2 linked regions of the Lonchura striata genome follow. The protein of the gene in region 1 purifies or fractionates together with the protein of each later gene. This does not show direct contact. Links are inferred from orthologs where the notes say so. Each region holds a gene or a part of one and is shown on either strand. Other genes may lie near its edges.

Region 1 (7,673 bases):
CTGATACCATTTTCTTCACACAGCTACTGAACACAAAGGTCTAAAAAGGACAAACCAGAGAACTTTCTGATTTTTTTTCAAAATTACATACTTGACTCTTCTATTCCTTTTCCAGAAGAAAATTACAGTTCCTAACTACTGAACCATCATTTTCCTGACTCAGTTAATTTTACCCTGTTCTTAATATCTTTATAGTGCAACAAACCAGCTGCAGTTCCTTACGGCCCAGCCTCAGCATGACTAACCCTGTAAGATTACATTTTATTCTGATCCTTTCCTGAAAGGATTGAGAAATAACCTGTTTTGTGTACAAAATGATCCAGTTTCATGTGCCTGAGTCATGTGCCTGTACTCAAATCAGAGCTCCAATGTGTCTTCTTTGGCATCCTTAGTATACTCTAGAAAAACAAACAGAAAAACCAAACAAAAACCCTCCAGCCAATGAACAGAGGGAGTAGACTTAAATCAGAATCAGTCAATTAGGTTCATTTTATACAGTATACAAATAAAACAGCTGAAATCTTTACTAGAACACTTTCTCTGTGGGAGGGGAGCAAGTGGGAGGTAGGAAGGGGGAGTCTTTGCAAGCATAAAGCTGGCTAAAGCAGTTATTTTGCTCCCACACAAAACTCTGACAACTCTACCTCCAAAAATAAAGGAAAAGGGCAGGAAAAGCATGACATGGAATGCTAAGAAAGGGAGAAAACAGCAGAGTACAGTGAAATGTTTCACTGCTGTAAAGGCTGCCAAGAGAATATGTTTCAGAATTGGTTTGGAGGAGAATATGGGCAAGTGGAAAAGATTTAAAACACACCATCCCCTTCTCCCCAGACCTTCTAAGCTTATTTTTCATGAAGAAGAAGTGAATGTAGACACAAAGTCAGTGAAGTATTCACAAGAAAAGTAACCTGCCAAATTCTTAACCTGTTGATTTTGAAGCTGACTTCTAATTTGGTTAAGTAGGCAATGTCATGCAGTAGCTAATCTCATCATTGGCAATCTGGATGTCAGCTGAGCAGCTTTCTTCTGGATAATCACAAATACAATGATCAAACATCAAGCTGTATATACCATAGAACTGCATTTCTCAACTCTGCATTGGGAACTGCACCAAAGGACAGAACTAATGAGATTTGCTGTAAAGGCAAGTAGGTCTAGTGATCTGGAGAGAAAAAAAAAAAGGGGGGGGGGGGAGGGGCTATAAGACAAATGTTTAAACTTTCTTCTGGAAGAACACAGGTTCACACAATAGGTCAGTGCTTGATACAGAGAATAGTGCTTATAGTACAGAGTAAGAAACTTGATTTTTTTTTTTTAACAGGATATGATGAGATAGGTCTTTTGAATGATTACCAGATATGATAATAGTAAGAGCTAAAACTAACAAGTAAGAGATACTTTGAACAACAGACCCAGCAGTCTGAGTTTTCATCTGGTTGCCTAAACTGAATGACAAACTTTTGCACCTGAGTTTTGCAGAGAAGAATAGCATTCAATCAAATGTTTCTTGATAGGCCTTGAGATACAGCTCATTGTGTTGGGATTTTAAAAACATATTAACAGAGATAGGAATCTCCTTTTCTATTTGGTGGTTCGGTATCTGACCAGGAGATGGGAGACCTGGGTCTCTAGCTCAAATGACTCCACAAAACCACACTCTGTTTTTGAAGTCATAGCCCCTAGTTTCATTTCTTTAAAAACCCCACATCTTTGATCTGGTTTGATTGTTTTTTAAAATACTGTTTTACCTTTGCTTTGTTTACATTTTTTGTAGAAATTGAAGTTCCTGCATCTGCTTGTCTGTTGTTTTAACCCAGTTCCTCTTAACTTCCTGGACTGCCTTAAAATAATTCTTAAAAATAGCAGAAAAAAAATCAGCAAACATACAGAAACACATAGAAATAGAAAGCTTATTTTGGTTTTTAAACAAAGCTTTTGATTTTAAGACAAGTTCACCCTACACTGTTCTTTCCTCATGAGTTAATCATTTCCAAAGCTGTGTGTAGATGTACAACTCAACAAACCTACAGATCACCTACATGCTCCTATATGATGACAGAGTGCCTACATATTAGGAACATTAGGATACATACATCACTTTGAAAATACAGTGGATAGGTACCTAAATGTGTCCTTTTTGTGAAATATTTTTCCCATGCATAAGCCATAGGTGAGTTAGAATCGCTAATACAACGGTGTGAAGGAGAAAAACCCCAAAACACCAACATGACCCCTATCAACAACAACTATATCCAGCACTTAGAAAAGTGGCACAAATCAATGCCAACAAGAACCATTTATAAATATGTCAAGAATTAATATAAAACATTAAATTATTGTGGAAAGGTAATCTTTAAGATTACAAAAAGTCCTTTCAGTTTTACCTATGTATGTAACAATTTCAGTGAAATTCTACAATCCATCAGCTGTGTATTGAAAGAAGGATCCATAAAACTTTTAAAAGCCAAGGGAAAAAAAGTAATAAAACATGAAGAAATTATTCTGTTGAATGGCTGTTTGGATTTTTTTAGCTAAATAAAATGGAAGTGCAATCCAGAAATATTTCATTACTTAACCAGATTAAAAAACACCAAACCAAAGCACAGATGTAATCTTGAAGTGCATTTTGTACTCATTCTTTACACATTGTAGCAAAATGGAAATAAACTGGGGTCAGATTATCCAATCTCTCCACTGGTTTTGGTGGTACCAAACATTGTTACAACGTAGAACTAAGACTTTTTCCTCCTTTTCTTAAACAACTCTGGGTTTCTCTGCACAGTAGGTGGTAAGGCTCCTAGAGCAGCCACTGCCATGCTGCAACCAACCGCTGTGGAGCTGCATCAGGCTGAGCTCTGTGCAGGAGCAAAGCAAATTGAACACTCAGTTACCCATGTGCCAGGGGCACAGCTGGCCTGAGCCCTCTGATTTAAGCAACCTGGGTAAATCTCCACAACCTTACAACTGGAGCAGTGCAGGCTACATGGCCAGTACGGACGTATTACTCACCCTCCGCTGGGTCTTGTGCCCAGACAGCCCCATTTCCTCTCCTGGGCTTGGAGCAGTGCTGGATGGAGAATTATCTCCTCAGACAGTTTGCCACAGCTGAGAAGCATGCAGCTCTTTTGCTGGACAGCTAGTACTGCAGTTTGTAAAGGCACATAGAGGGAAACAGAAAGATATGTAGAGGCTGAGCTCCAATGCAGTAGATTTAAACCAGACAAGTTACCAGCATCAAAAAACAGGTTTCTGTGCACCTTTCCTTGCTGCCACCAAAAGACATGGTCTGTTCTTCCCCTTCCACTCCATTCATTCATCTGCTGCAATCAATATAATTCACTAAGCAAGCAAAAAGAGATTTCTTTGTTTTCTGTTTCTCTGTAGAGAGAAGTAGACATGAACACAACTGCAGTAGGGAGCCATTAGACCGGCCCTGCTATACTAACTGCCCCCACAGGGCACTCTGACAAATGGGACCTTGGCACCAGGCTCCCATCCCCAGGGTTTATCCTCACCCACAAGTGAGCATTACCATTTGCAGCACAGCAAACAGAACCAGGGGACTGACTCAGGCCAAAAACAGGCCATCAAAGCCAAATCAAAAATAAAGAGACAGTATTTTTAGACCAGGTTAGCTCACCAGTCCAGTTCACCACTCCCACCAGCATCATGGACTAGTAGTCCAAGGAACAAGCAAATGAAAGGGGAATAGTGCTCTGCTGTTTAAGCCTGGCCACTTACTAAAAGAAATGCTCAAGCTATAGCCTCAGGTATTATGCATATTAGTGTATAGAAATAAGCACTTCAGATAAAAAGTAATCCACCTCTGCCCAGAGGGGTAGCTTGCAACTCAGAACTCAAAGTTCTCTTCTATATTGTTTATGGGTGTATTTTTTTTTTGTGACCACTGCATCATGCAAGTATAAATATTAGAAGGCAAGGAGCCACAAAACACCTCTTTATAGTTTCTTAAAGAGAGAGGGAATAAATAGCTAGCTACAATAAAGGACCCTTCAGGGGTACTACAGTGCTAATATTTAAAACATGCAACACCACAGAAACCAGTCAATTCCAATTTAAAATTGGCCTCAGGAAAAAAAAATGAAAAAAAACCAGTCAAGCTGTTGAAGTTTAAAGGCTTCATAACTAAGTTATTCAGGGGATTTATTTCTCTGCTTATAGTAGTTTTCATGCATCTTAGTAGTTTCACTTAAGCTTCTTGTTCACCACTTTCTGACTCCAAGTTTACAGTACAACTCCTTCAAGTTCAGTTCTGCCACTTTTTCACCACTAGGAAAAGAAAAAAACACAGAAACATTTGGTGAAATCTACTGAAATAGCTCAACTACTTTCATGTATCAGTTATTGCTGGCTAGCAATGTGCTGTTAGAGAAGAAAAACAATACAGATTCTGGAGTAAAGTAAGGTGACAAGCTAGTTATCTTCCTCACTTCTCTGAGTCTAAGCTTACAGAACAGTCTAAGCTCTGCTCTGTACAGAACATCTCTACTCCCTGAGATTATGGTCTTCTAGGATAGCCTTCACTCAAAACACAGCTAAGCATGATAGATGTTAAGGGACACAGGGATGGAAACTTCCAGGACTGCTGCTTTTCTGGAACAGATCACCAGACAAGGTGTGTAAAATGTCAATGTACAGCAAGAAAAGCATGTCACTCTTCAAAGATCACTAGTTTTCTGCTTACTTTTAAAAAAAGTAAGTCTAAAGGCCCAAATCTGTAAACATTTAATTCTAAGCTGATAACATTATTCAGCAGAACATCTAAACATACCTTTTTAGGCCTGTGAGCATCTAAGCATTTTTTGGCAGTTGAATGTGGGTTACCTTTGGACTTGATGTATTTGTGAGGATTATCAAAGATACATAGAAATGTAATCAACTGAAAAACTTTTCTATTCTCCTGTGTATCTGATCATATCACAATACAAAGCAAAAATAATTCCACCTGGAACTGCACTGCAAGATACTTTTGAGATGTAGTAACTGCCAACTGCGTACTCAGAGATATCTTTCAAAGCAGAATGAAGAGAGGAAGGGAATAATAAATAAAATAGGCACAGACTGTAAAGTTACTCTCTCACTAAGTAAGCCTGAGCTCCTTAGTAAGTCCAGTAGTAACAGGACCTTCATTTTAAAACATTCAGAAGAACACTAATATCTCTATGCCAATTAATAGACCAAAAAAAGCTAAATAACTGCAATGCTCCAGTCAACAGCAAAGACCATTCACTGTCCTGATGTGGCCTGAGCCTATCCCAGTCACAGGCCTGGATCCTGCCTGTGGAGTTGCGGTTTCATATGTTTTATTACACCTTTATTCTGTCATGGTTTGTTCCAGTGTACCCCCATACTGTATTGGTTTCTCCCTGAGTTTTCCCGCCTTTCCCCAAGTGTCGGTTTCCCTGGAAGGTGCCAAGTCAGTCCCCTGCCCCCTCCTAAGTGCCTTGTCTGTCACTCGGTGCCCCTTCCCCTACCTCTGGAAACTTCCATCCAGGGCACCGAGTGATTGGATGAGGGCCTGGGACCCCTACCCTGTCTCCCCTTCACTGGATCCCCCACATGTCAATCCTCACAAGAGCCACTTCCATATGTTTCCCCACTGTCTGATCGGTCCCCCTCCCTCTCCCTATCTAACATGTTGCCAGCACCCCTCAGTTGCTCTTGTTGGCTGGCCCCCTCCGATGCTGTTGGATCCTCAGGACCTCAATAAACATCGGATTTTTGCCCCCAACAAGTGCCTCTCCTCATTTCCTCTCCGTTGGATTCAGCAGCGACCTCAGGACCCACCAAGCACTCTCCAAAGCCCAGCTGGGTACAGCGGAGGGTGCTTCCACTCGCCCTACTCGCCCCCCAGGAGAGCTAGCCAGGGCTGAGGACAGGGGTCTGGGGCGGGTACGCAGCACCTGACTCACCCACACACCCACCCACATGGGAAACTGGACATCAGCCAATCAATGAGGATCCAAAAGCCTCTTCACATTTATGATCATGAAGACACAACCCTGATTTACAGCTTGCTTAATAACACTGTGGTCAAACTTAAGTTACTGGCCATTAAGAAAAGAAACACATAATGATATAAAGGAAAGTAAGCTAGAGACATTGGTTATAAGTGTAACAAGAGAGCTTCCTGTCCTATGTTAAACTCAGCATGTGATCTGTAAATTAAGAACTGTTTCATGTACGTATGGCCATCTGATTTAATGCCTACCTAGAATACACACCCAATAGTTCCCGTGTGGTAAAGTTGCTATGTGACTTGTAAACTCATAGGGATATTTCATATGTGAAAGTCTTACCCCTACACCACTCTCTCGGCAGACTTTGTTCCCCACTACCAGACTTTCTAACATGTAGGGGGAGAGCGCTCAAGGGAATTTATCAGACCAGATGGGTCTTTTAACTTTAGCAGGATCATGCAAGCCTTGTTCAGATTTCAGATTCAGTCACTGCAGCCAACAACAACAAAAATCCAAGGGGGGGCTAAGTTAAGCACCATGTAAAACTTACCAGACAGAGCTTCATCATCACAATCATGAAAGAAAAATAGGGTAAAAATATTTTATAAATTATCTCAACAGACCTCCCCTCACATAATGTAATATTCGAAAACAGAAAGTCAGAAGCTTCACTAATCATTAGCATGAATAAGGAAGAAGTGCTCAATACCTATTAATGTAACTTAACTGCTTTAAAATTTTCTCTTATGTCCCATTTAACTGCTCATTTAGAATTAGATATAACCACTCTCATATTCCAGCATGTGAATTTATGATGAGTTTCTTAAGGTTCAAAGAAATGTAAAAAGGTAATAAAACAGACTGTTTACTACTGTCATGCATTTATTTCCTAATGCAAGGCGTCTGCCGTGTTATTCCAGATCTTTACTACTAAATCCTCAAATTCTGTTGTACAGTGAGCACTGTGTTCTCTGAGTTAACATTACTCATGAGCATCACAAATACATAATTTTATAGGATTTGTGTTTTTTTTCCAGGCTAATAGAGTTCTCTTGTTTTTCTAGGAAATATCTACACATCCTGCCCTTTAGTGAAAACACCAGTCTTGTAGGATGCTCTATAAAGGCTTCTGACAAGAGCAGACTTGAGCTCTGTGGAACTTTCATTATCAATAATACATAAGGAGGAAAAACCCTATGTGGCTTGACATTTGGGTTTCTTTTAGTCTACTGTGGCTTCTCTACATCTTCTCTGCAAGAGGGCAGAAGTAGCACCAACAGAAAATGCAGACAATATTTGCAGGACCAGCTGCACAATGGGAGAGTGAGGACAGAAAAATCAGGCAGAGGTGAGTCCACTTACTGTGAGAAATGTATTTGTAAGGAATTCTCAAAATCTTGCAGAAAGTTCACACAGTCTTGTACATCTGTATGCAAACACTGAGGTAAGGTGTGCTGACTTAGGAAGGCCATGAAATAAAGATGACATTGTTGAGAGAGAGATTGAACTAGAAACAAGTTTCATCAAGTTTCAAACTATGGCCTTGTAAAAAGGCCAGATATTTTAGAAAATTAGAATGGTGAAAGATGCATTGTAGTGGGACCATGTGGAGTAAAAATATAGGTGATTTGTATTAGCAGCATGGTGTGGCAAAATAATAGGCTGAAAAACATTTATAAGGCATTGTAACCA
Region 2 (8,087 bases), on another chromosome or scaffold:
TGATATTTCATGTCAGCAAGTTGCTTGTCAATATTTAAAAACAAAAACAAAACAAAACAAAAACCATACCAAAACACCACAACCAAACCAAAAACCTAAACAAAACCAAAACCAAACCAAAACAAAAACCAAGCCAACAACAACAACCCAAAAGTATTTTTTGACATTTTTTGCATGTTAAAATGAGACAGATTGAAGTTAATATAACAGTAATTATCTCCTGCAGCTAATATTTGATACAGACAGTGCCAGGGAGGACAGCATGATCACTAACAAGGCTAGGAAAGGATTTCTTCTCTTGTGCAACACTCACAGATGTTACTCTTCTCCCAAGTATTTGAGATTTGCCACAGGCATCTCTGTTAGGTGCTTTATTGTCAGAATTTGTTGCTTTATTGTCAGAACTCTCTCTTCCTGTTCTCATTCACTGGGTGACCCTTCTTAACTCTTTTTTTAAGTGATTTGAAGTTTGCTTGATAAAAAACAACCATCAACCACTGCACAGATCTAACAATTCTGTCTGGTAGAAAACATTTTTGATTCTCCAACTGCAAAAACCTTTTGAATTGCTAATTTCCCAGGAAAGTTGGGGCTGCCCTATCCCTGGAAGCATTCAAGACTAGGTTGGACAGGACTTGGAGGAATCTGCTGTATGGAGTGGTGTCCCTGCCCATGGCAGGGGGTTAGAATGAGATGAGCTTTGAGGTCTCTTCCAACCCAAACCATTTTGTGATTCTGTGATTCTATGGAATCTGCTGTGGGGAACAGGGTGGGGAGAGATCCAAGGATGGATGGCATCTTGTGCTTTACCCGCCTAGCTGGTTAAAAACCCAAAAAACTGTTGAGCATAGAAGCAGTTCACTAAATCTGATACCAGTGAAGAGAAATTCAACTGATATCTAGGATGGGAACAATTTCTCCAAGTTTATTTCCACCCTTACCCAATGTTTTTACTTTCTGTCCTTTGTGCAACAGAGAGCTATGTTTGGCAAGAAATGGGGGAGCAGATGTTGTGAAAATACAAGTACTGTTATCACTGATAACTGCAAGTGAACAAAAACAGATGTAAGAAGACACAAAGTAGAGAATGGGGGTAAGATTTGACAGCAGATTCCAACCCCAGCCCTGAGCTGGATATATCTGGCTAATCCATACATTGTTTTAGAGCCATGCCAGCAACACTTCCAATGTTTGGAATCTTTTGGCATCACTTAGTGGGAGCAACTTGTGCTGGCAGCACCTGTGTGACTGTGCTGGGTTTGGGTGAGCAGGCTTTGATCCAGGGGTGGCTCCTGTGAGGAGGCGCTGGAGCTTCCCTCCATGTCTGATGGAGCCATGGATGGAGGGTGTGGGGGTGCAGAGATCCACGTACAGCTCATGAACACCCCATGGCAGAGCATGGGGATGCCTGAAGGAGACTGTGTTCCCATGGGAAGCCCAGGCTGGAGGAGAGGCAGAGTGTGAGAAGTCCAACCCCTGAGGAGGAAGGAGCGCAGTGACAGTGTGAAGGACTGAGCACAGCCCCATTCCCTGCCCCCGTGCACCACTTGGAAGGAGGAGGGAGAGAAGCATGAGGGAAATTGAGCCTGGGAAAGAAGGAGGGGTGGGGGGAAAAGTGATTTAGGATTGGAGTTTATTTCTTGTTGCCCTGCTCTGATTGGATTGGTAATAAATTAAACTGATTTCCTCCATCTCTTTTCACCATGACAGTAACTGGTGACTAATCTCTCCTTGCCCTTATCCCAACTATGGGCCTTGCATTGTATTTTCTTTTCCTGCCCAGCTGAGGAGGGGAGTGAGAGCAGTTTTAGAAGGCATCTGGTGTCCAGCCAGGGTCACCCATCGCAGTGACAATCCAAAGAGTAGTGTCATGCACTGCCTGTATCCTGAGCTGACTGAATCTCAGAGCCAGACTGGCTTTTCTGGCAGCACCTTGGGAAATGACTGGGTATCTGAATTCCCAGATTCAGGGCATGCTGGCAGTTGTCTGTGTCCCGGGAATATAGATGTATGTAGAAATAGCCTCTCTGTGCCTCCATTTCTCTAGAGCCTACAAGGAATTTGCAACCTATTTCTCATCACTCACATGTTTTTGGTTTTGGTTGCCTTTGAATACCAGGTGAGCCCAACCCAACAGTTTTAAATTAAACCCAAGATTTCATCCTCCTTCTTGAGGCCTCAAGCAGAAAAGGAAAAATCTTCTCTGAGCAGTGGTTTTGCTAGAGATAATTGACTGACAAGAAAAACCCAACCACTCTTCAGAATGTTTTCTTTCCTATCTGCTCAACACCCTTTTGTTGGAATCGGAGGTATTGATGATTCCGAGATTGTAAAAAGTCTCTGTCTTTCTGCCCCATTGCCAAAGAAGAAGCCATAATTTGTCTGTGCTGGTTTTCAAGATTGTTTATTCTTGCTTATGTATAACATGTTCTGCTGCCCTGCCGCAGCTCTGTCCTGCAGGGCAGCGTGTAGGGCTCTGCCCTCAGTGTGATGTTACAAACATTAAATACCAGAAACTCCCTGGGCTGGATTTACAATAATGTGCCAATATCTGTCACCTACGTTGAACAGTGTGTCCCCAGCCTAAACCAACAGAAAAATGCCAACACCACAGTGAGACATGGAGGGCATGAAGAAGGAGAAAAAGGACAAGGCACACCCAATTTCCTCCATCTTGTCCCCTTTGAACCCCTAATCTAGAATCCTAAAATTTTACTTTTGCACCCGTGCCACACTTAATTATTACTTATATCAAACACTCAGAGCTTGTAATTCACCCTGTAAGATTGAAAACTCTTTTCCATGGACAGAGATCAGAGACAGTGTTTCTTGGGGCTCTGTCCAGGGGGGTTCCTGACCCCCTGCCAGGGTCCCAGACCTTCCAGGGCAGCCAGAGGGAAGCCCTGGATTCCCACACCATTTGTTATCCCAGCAACTAATGTAGAAATCACTTAGGGTCCTACTGAAAACCTCCCTCAGACAGGTAAATAACATTTGAATTTCTAAACACAAATGAACTGTTTAAATATGGTGAGCTGGCTATTTCCACCCAGTCTGCTCCGTGTCTTTGCATTACTGCACCTAAACCCTGGTCACCCTTTTGGAGGGAAAAATGTGAATAGTATCTTTTACCCTTTTTTTTTTTCTTTCAATAATAAATTCTCAGCTGTCAACATCTTGCCTCACTCAAAACAATTTGTGTAACTCCAGACACAATCATATTGCTGGAGACAGACCAAAGGTAACAGTTACCCAAGAACTCCAAACACTGTCAGGTTTCTCATGTCTTTTGCATTCTGTTAAAATTTAAAGGTCTGAAATTGTCACCCTTCCTGCTGCAAAGGATATCCTTGCTGTGTCCAACAAAGTTTGCTGTTTTGCCACAAATTCAGAAGAGAATTACTTTTAACTTCTTTATTCTTCCTTACTCAGGCCTTAGCTGTTAAAAATTAAGGCCCAGAAATCCTTGGAGATCACTAGCTTGTTTTCCAGGGTAGGAGGGTATCCTGTTTTTCAGATTCTTTTTTTTTTTTTCTTCTTATACAACTTTCTGATTTTATATCATAAAATCACAGAGTGGTTTGAGTTGGAAGGGATCTTAGATCTCATCTCATCCCACTCCTGTCATGTGGGCAGGGACACCTTCCACTGTCCCAGGCTGCTCCAAGCCCTGTCCAGCCTGGCCTGGGACACTGCCAGGGATCCAGGGGCAGCCACAACTTCTCTGGCACCCTGTGCCAGGGCCTCACACCCTCACACAGAACAATTTCTTTCCATTTTGCTTCCTAGGTTGCTCAGAGGCCCATTCAGCCTCGTCTTGAACACTTCCTTTTCCCTCCCCTTCAGCCTCGAGGCCCACGCTCACAGTGTGTGGGGTGGCTGAGGGGCATTCCCGACATAGGGGGGACACATCCCCACCTCTGGGGGGACCTTTTTGGGCTCACCTGGGGTACAGGGACACCCTGGGATGCTGGTGGGACAGACCCCAATCAACATGTGTCCATCATCCATGGGAGCAGTAGGGCCCAGCATGGGGTTGCTCCATCCCAGGGCAGTGCCCGTGCCCTGTGTGGCACTGCTGGGGCACCTCAAGTGCTGGGGCAGCCCCGAGCACCCAGTTCAGGACAGGCACTAAGGGGCTGGAATGTGCCCAGGGAAAGGAACAACGCTGAGGAGGGCTCCGGAGCACCAAGAGTGGCTGAGGGGCCTCAGCCTGGACCTTGTGGCTCTGCATAGCTCCTGCCAGGAGGGGACAGCCGGGGGGTCGGGCTCTGCTCCAGAGAACAGGGACAGGAGGAGAGGGAACGGCCTCAGGCTGGGCCTGGGGAGGTTCAGCTTGGACACCAGCAGGAATTTCTCCCTGGAAAGGGTGGTCAGGCCTTGGAAGGGGCTGCCCAGGGAGGTGGTGCAGCCTCCATCATCCCTGGAGCTGTCCAAGGAATGCCTGGACGCGGCACTCGGTGCTCTGGGCTGTTTGATAAGATAGGGGGGGGGGGGTGTCACAGGTTGGACTGGGTGATCCTGGAGGGCTTTTTCCACTCCAGTGATTCTGATTCTGCTACTTCCATTACTCCTTTAACTGGGGCAGTGCTCATGTTGTATCTGTGCCAGCCGCTGCTTTCTCACCTGTAATATTTAACTAATGGGGAGCAGTAGAGGGGCTTCAGTTTTACAGCTCAGTTTTAAATTGACTCATTTCCTGGGAAATGCCATTTAATGGTTTGGGAACTGCCATGTGCTTTAAACTCTGCTTGTTAAACTTGGTGAGATGAGAAACTCACCGGTAAGTGAAGAGCTCTGCAGCTGTAGCACCGGACCAAGAACCGCTTCCACTCCCTCTACACCAGAGCCTGCCATTAGTGGAACCGATCCTGTGACTGCGACTCCCCCATCTGACCCCGCCCCGCCGCCATGGCCGCGGCGTGACGTCGCCGGCCCCGCCCTCCCGGTCCCCCCCCACTCGCGGCCACCGTAGCGGGACCGGCGGAGGCCCCGCGGCGGCCGATGGTCCGCGTTGTGCCGCCGCCCCCCGCCCGCCCTGCTCCCACCCGGCAGCGGCCGCAGATGGCGCGGCGGGCACCGGGCAGGCGGGCCGGGAGGTCACCGGCGCCTCCGCCGCCGCCGCTGCTGGCGCTGCTGCTGCTGTTGGTGCTGGGCCCCGCCGCCGCCGCCGGCGAGGAGGTGGCGGTGTCCAAGGAATGCGACAAGCCGTGCGCCAACGGCGGGCGGTGCCAGCCGGGCACCGGGCAGTGCGAGTGCCAGCCTGGCTGGGTGGGCGATCAGTGCCAGCACTGCGGGGGGCGCTTCAGGTGAGCTCCCGCGGGGCGGGGGGCCGGACGTGCCCTGCGGTGGGGCGCGGGGCGCGGGGACGCCTAGGGCTGGGGTGGACGGGGCTGGTTCAGGAGTGAGGGGTTGGGTGTGGGCTACGGGGGTGAAAGGCTGGTTCAAGGGTGAGGGGCTGGTTTGAGTGAGGTGTTCGTTTGGACCGTGGGGATCGGGCTGGGTTGGGGTACGGAGGGGACCGTGCGGCAGCCACGTCAGGGATGGGCATGAGGGACATGGCAAGAGAGAGAGGAGAGGACACAGCAGTGGCTCGGTGGCCCGGGTCAGGTTGCCCAAAGGAGCGCATGAGGGAAATAGGTGGGTACGAGAAGCAGGTTCGGGCACTCAAACGGGGTGGGAGTCTGAGCAGGGTCCAGGGGTGAGTGAGGGCAGTAGGGTCGGGGTGACATTAAAGGTGAGGGGTGGGACCAGGTGAGATGAAAGATGAGCAGCAGATGGAAGTGACACTAAAGGTGAGTGGCAGGTCAAGGGAATGGTGAGGGGCACGCAGGTGATGGTAAAGGTGAGCAGCAGTCCAGGTGATGATAAAAGTGAGGGACAGATGTAGGTGACTATAAAGATGCAGGTGTTAGTGCAGGATAGGACCGTGTTGAGGGGACAATAGGGGCTGGGTCTCTGGGCAGTGAGGGTGTGAGCATGGGGCTGATTAAGGGGAATGTGGGTGAAAAGGGATGGGCAGTAGTCCTGCAAGGGGACAAAAGGGGTTTGGATGCAGAGGGAGAGGTGGGTGTGCGAGAACAGGCTTGAAGGGTGACGGCAGCATAGGTGTGATGGGGTGACAGTGTGGCAGGCTTGGTCTGGAGGTCCTCAGAGGAGGTGAGGGGTTGGGCTTCCTGCGGGAGCTCTCAGAGCAATGGAATATGGATGTTTAGTGCCACAGTTGGTGAATACAGGATGTTTGTTTTGCAGAGCCAACTCTAAGGGGGCTGAATTTTTGGTGTTGGTTGGCTGGGGTTGCACAGGCATAACTGGTGATCAGTTGTGATTCTAAGGGGCTATGTAGGAACAGTGGTTGTAGGGCACTGGATCACTGGGGATCTGGGCGTGATGGATTGCACAGCCAGGAAAATGTTTGGTTTAAATTTTAGTAGATCCAGACAGAAAGTAAAGCTGGAGGGGAGTGGGTAGGGGGATATTTTTTGGCAGTAGGGCTAGGTTTGGGAACTGATAAATGGGAGTGTAAGGATGGTGGGTGAATGGGGGTAGCTTTGTGCGTGGATGTGGCTGGAGTTGGAAGCTGATGGGAGCAGTGAGGAGCAGGTGGACAGAGGAGGACAGCGTGGGTGTGGGGCCAGTTCCTGGGCGGGGAGAAGGACTAATGTGTACATGGGACTAGATCACACTTGGAACAGGTTGGAGGAGAAGGATGTGCAAGTGGGTGTTAGGGCTGTGGGGAGACTCTAGAGGTCTTTGGAGGGGGTTAAGGAAGCTCCTCTTGTTGGCAGATCAGCAGGTGCTGGTTTTGGTTAAAGGCTCTTTCAGGAGAGGTATGTGCAGGGGAGAGAAGCAGTATCCTTATGGGAGTAGCTGGCATTTGGAAGGCTCATCTTCTGGAGCTGTAATGCTGCTGGCTCTTCGGGAGGGGCAGTGGCAGTAGCAGCCTGGTGGAAAAAAGCTCCTGGGCTTGTGGGGAGGCAAGATTGGGCAAGTGGGAGGGGATTGGACAGGATAGAGGGTATTGGGAGAGTCCTTTTTTTGGAGGAGAAAAAGGCTCAAGGAGGGCTCTGGGCAGGGGTATTGAATCCCCTGGCTCTGCATTGGTCCAGGACATGTGCAAACGACTGTGTGTGGGAATGCGGGGTGTCTGCACAGGACAGTGATTTTTGGGCTATATGCCGATAGAAAGTGCATTTCTGCAGTGCTAGGGGCAATTCTTTTAGTGCTGGGTTACTTGGCTGGGTTGTGTGCCTGAGGTGTATCCCACTGGATGAGAAAATGGGAATAGGCTGAACATGCTCCCTGGCTTCCGTATTATGGCAAGGATTTCTGTGAGATGGTTACTTGCCTTGGATTCGTCAGCTGTGGCAGTGAGAGAGCCAGTGTGTGTGTCTGCATGCATTAGGTGAATTCCCTGGCAGGGCTGATTCCTGGAAAAGAAGGAAATAAAAAAAGGATGATTATCCTAGGCAGTGACTGCTTTACTGGGGAGCTACTGAAAACACCAAGCACCCTTCGGTGATGTTCCTTATGAATGTGAGAGGAGGGTAACTGCCTATATAACCTGAACGCATGGAAGAAAAACACTTTAATTTTTTTATTCATATTTATTGGCAATCTGTAGATGAGTGTGTATTGTAAACAGTTTGAAAGGGGTTTTGTATGGAAATGATTCCAGGCTAGGCAAGCCCTGGAAGTCCAAACTGTGGTAGGCACATTCTTCTTCCTCTTAAGATTTTTTTCATAGAGGAGTACAGAGGAAAGAAAGAGAAAACTATTTCTGCTCCTTGTTTTCCTGTGTAGAATGTGTTTAGAAATTTGTTTACCTGGGGTGATTGCTTGTTTGGATTCTGGTGAGGATTGTTTGAGCCTGATGGCCAATACAATCCACCTGTGGCTGGACTTGAGCGAGAAAGTCACGAGTTGTGAGGGAGTGAAATATAGTAGTTAGAAAAAGTAAGTATGTAGTTTTAGTATATCCTTTAAATAGCATATGAATGTATTATAGTATAGTTATAATAAGTAATCATTCAGCCTTCTGAACTAGAGTCAGACATCAGCATTTCTTCCCACCGGGTTCGCCTACA

Evidence for each region. The genes of interacting proteins can lie anywhere in the genome.
Region 2: the proteins of ANKRD46 (region 1) and ATRN purify together in Homo sapiens (co-immunoprecipitation; 3 studies listed by BioGRID and IntAct, with this or other methods). This does not show direct contact. The link is inferred for Lonchura striata from reciprocal best matches to the Homo sapiens genes ANKRD46 and ATRN.

The regions. Positions count from the first base shown.
Region 1 is NC_134603.1:21,600,426-21,608,098, reverse strand, and holds the start of ANKRD46 (ankyrin repeat domain-containing protein 46), read right to left. Parts: upstream 3,064-7,673; 5' UTR 3,010-3,063; intron 1-3,009.
Region 2 is NC_134606.1:180,723-188,809, forward strand, and holds the start of ATRN (attractin), read left to right. Parts: upstream 1-5,004; coding exon 5,005-5,309; intron 5,310-8,087. UniProt on the Homo sapiens protein: Involved in the initial immune cell clustering during inflammatory response and may regulate chemotactic activity of chemokines. May play a role in melanocortin signaling pathways that regulate energy homeostasis and hair color.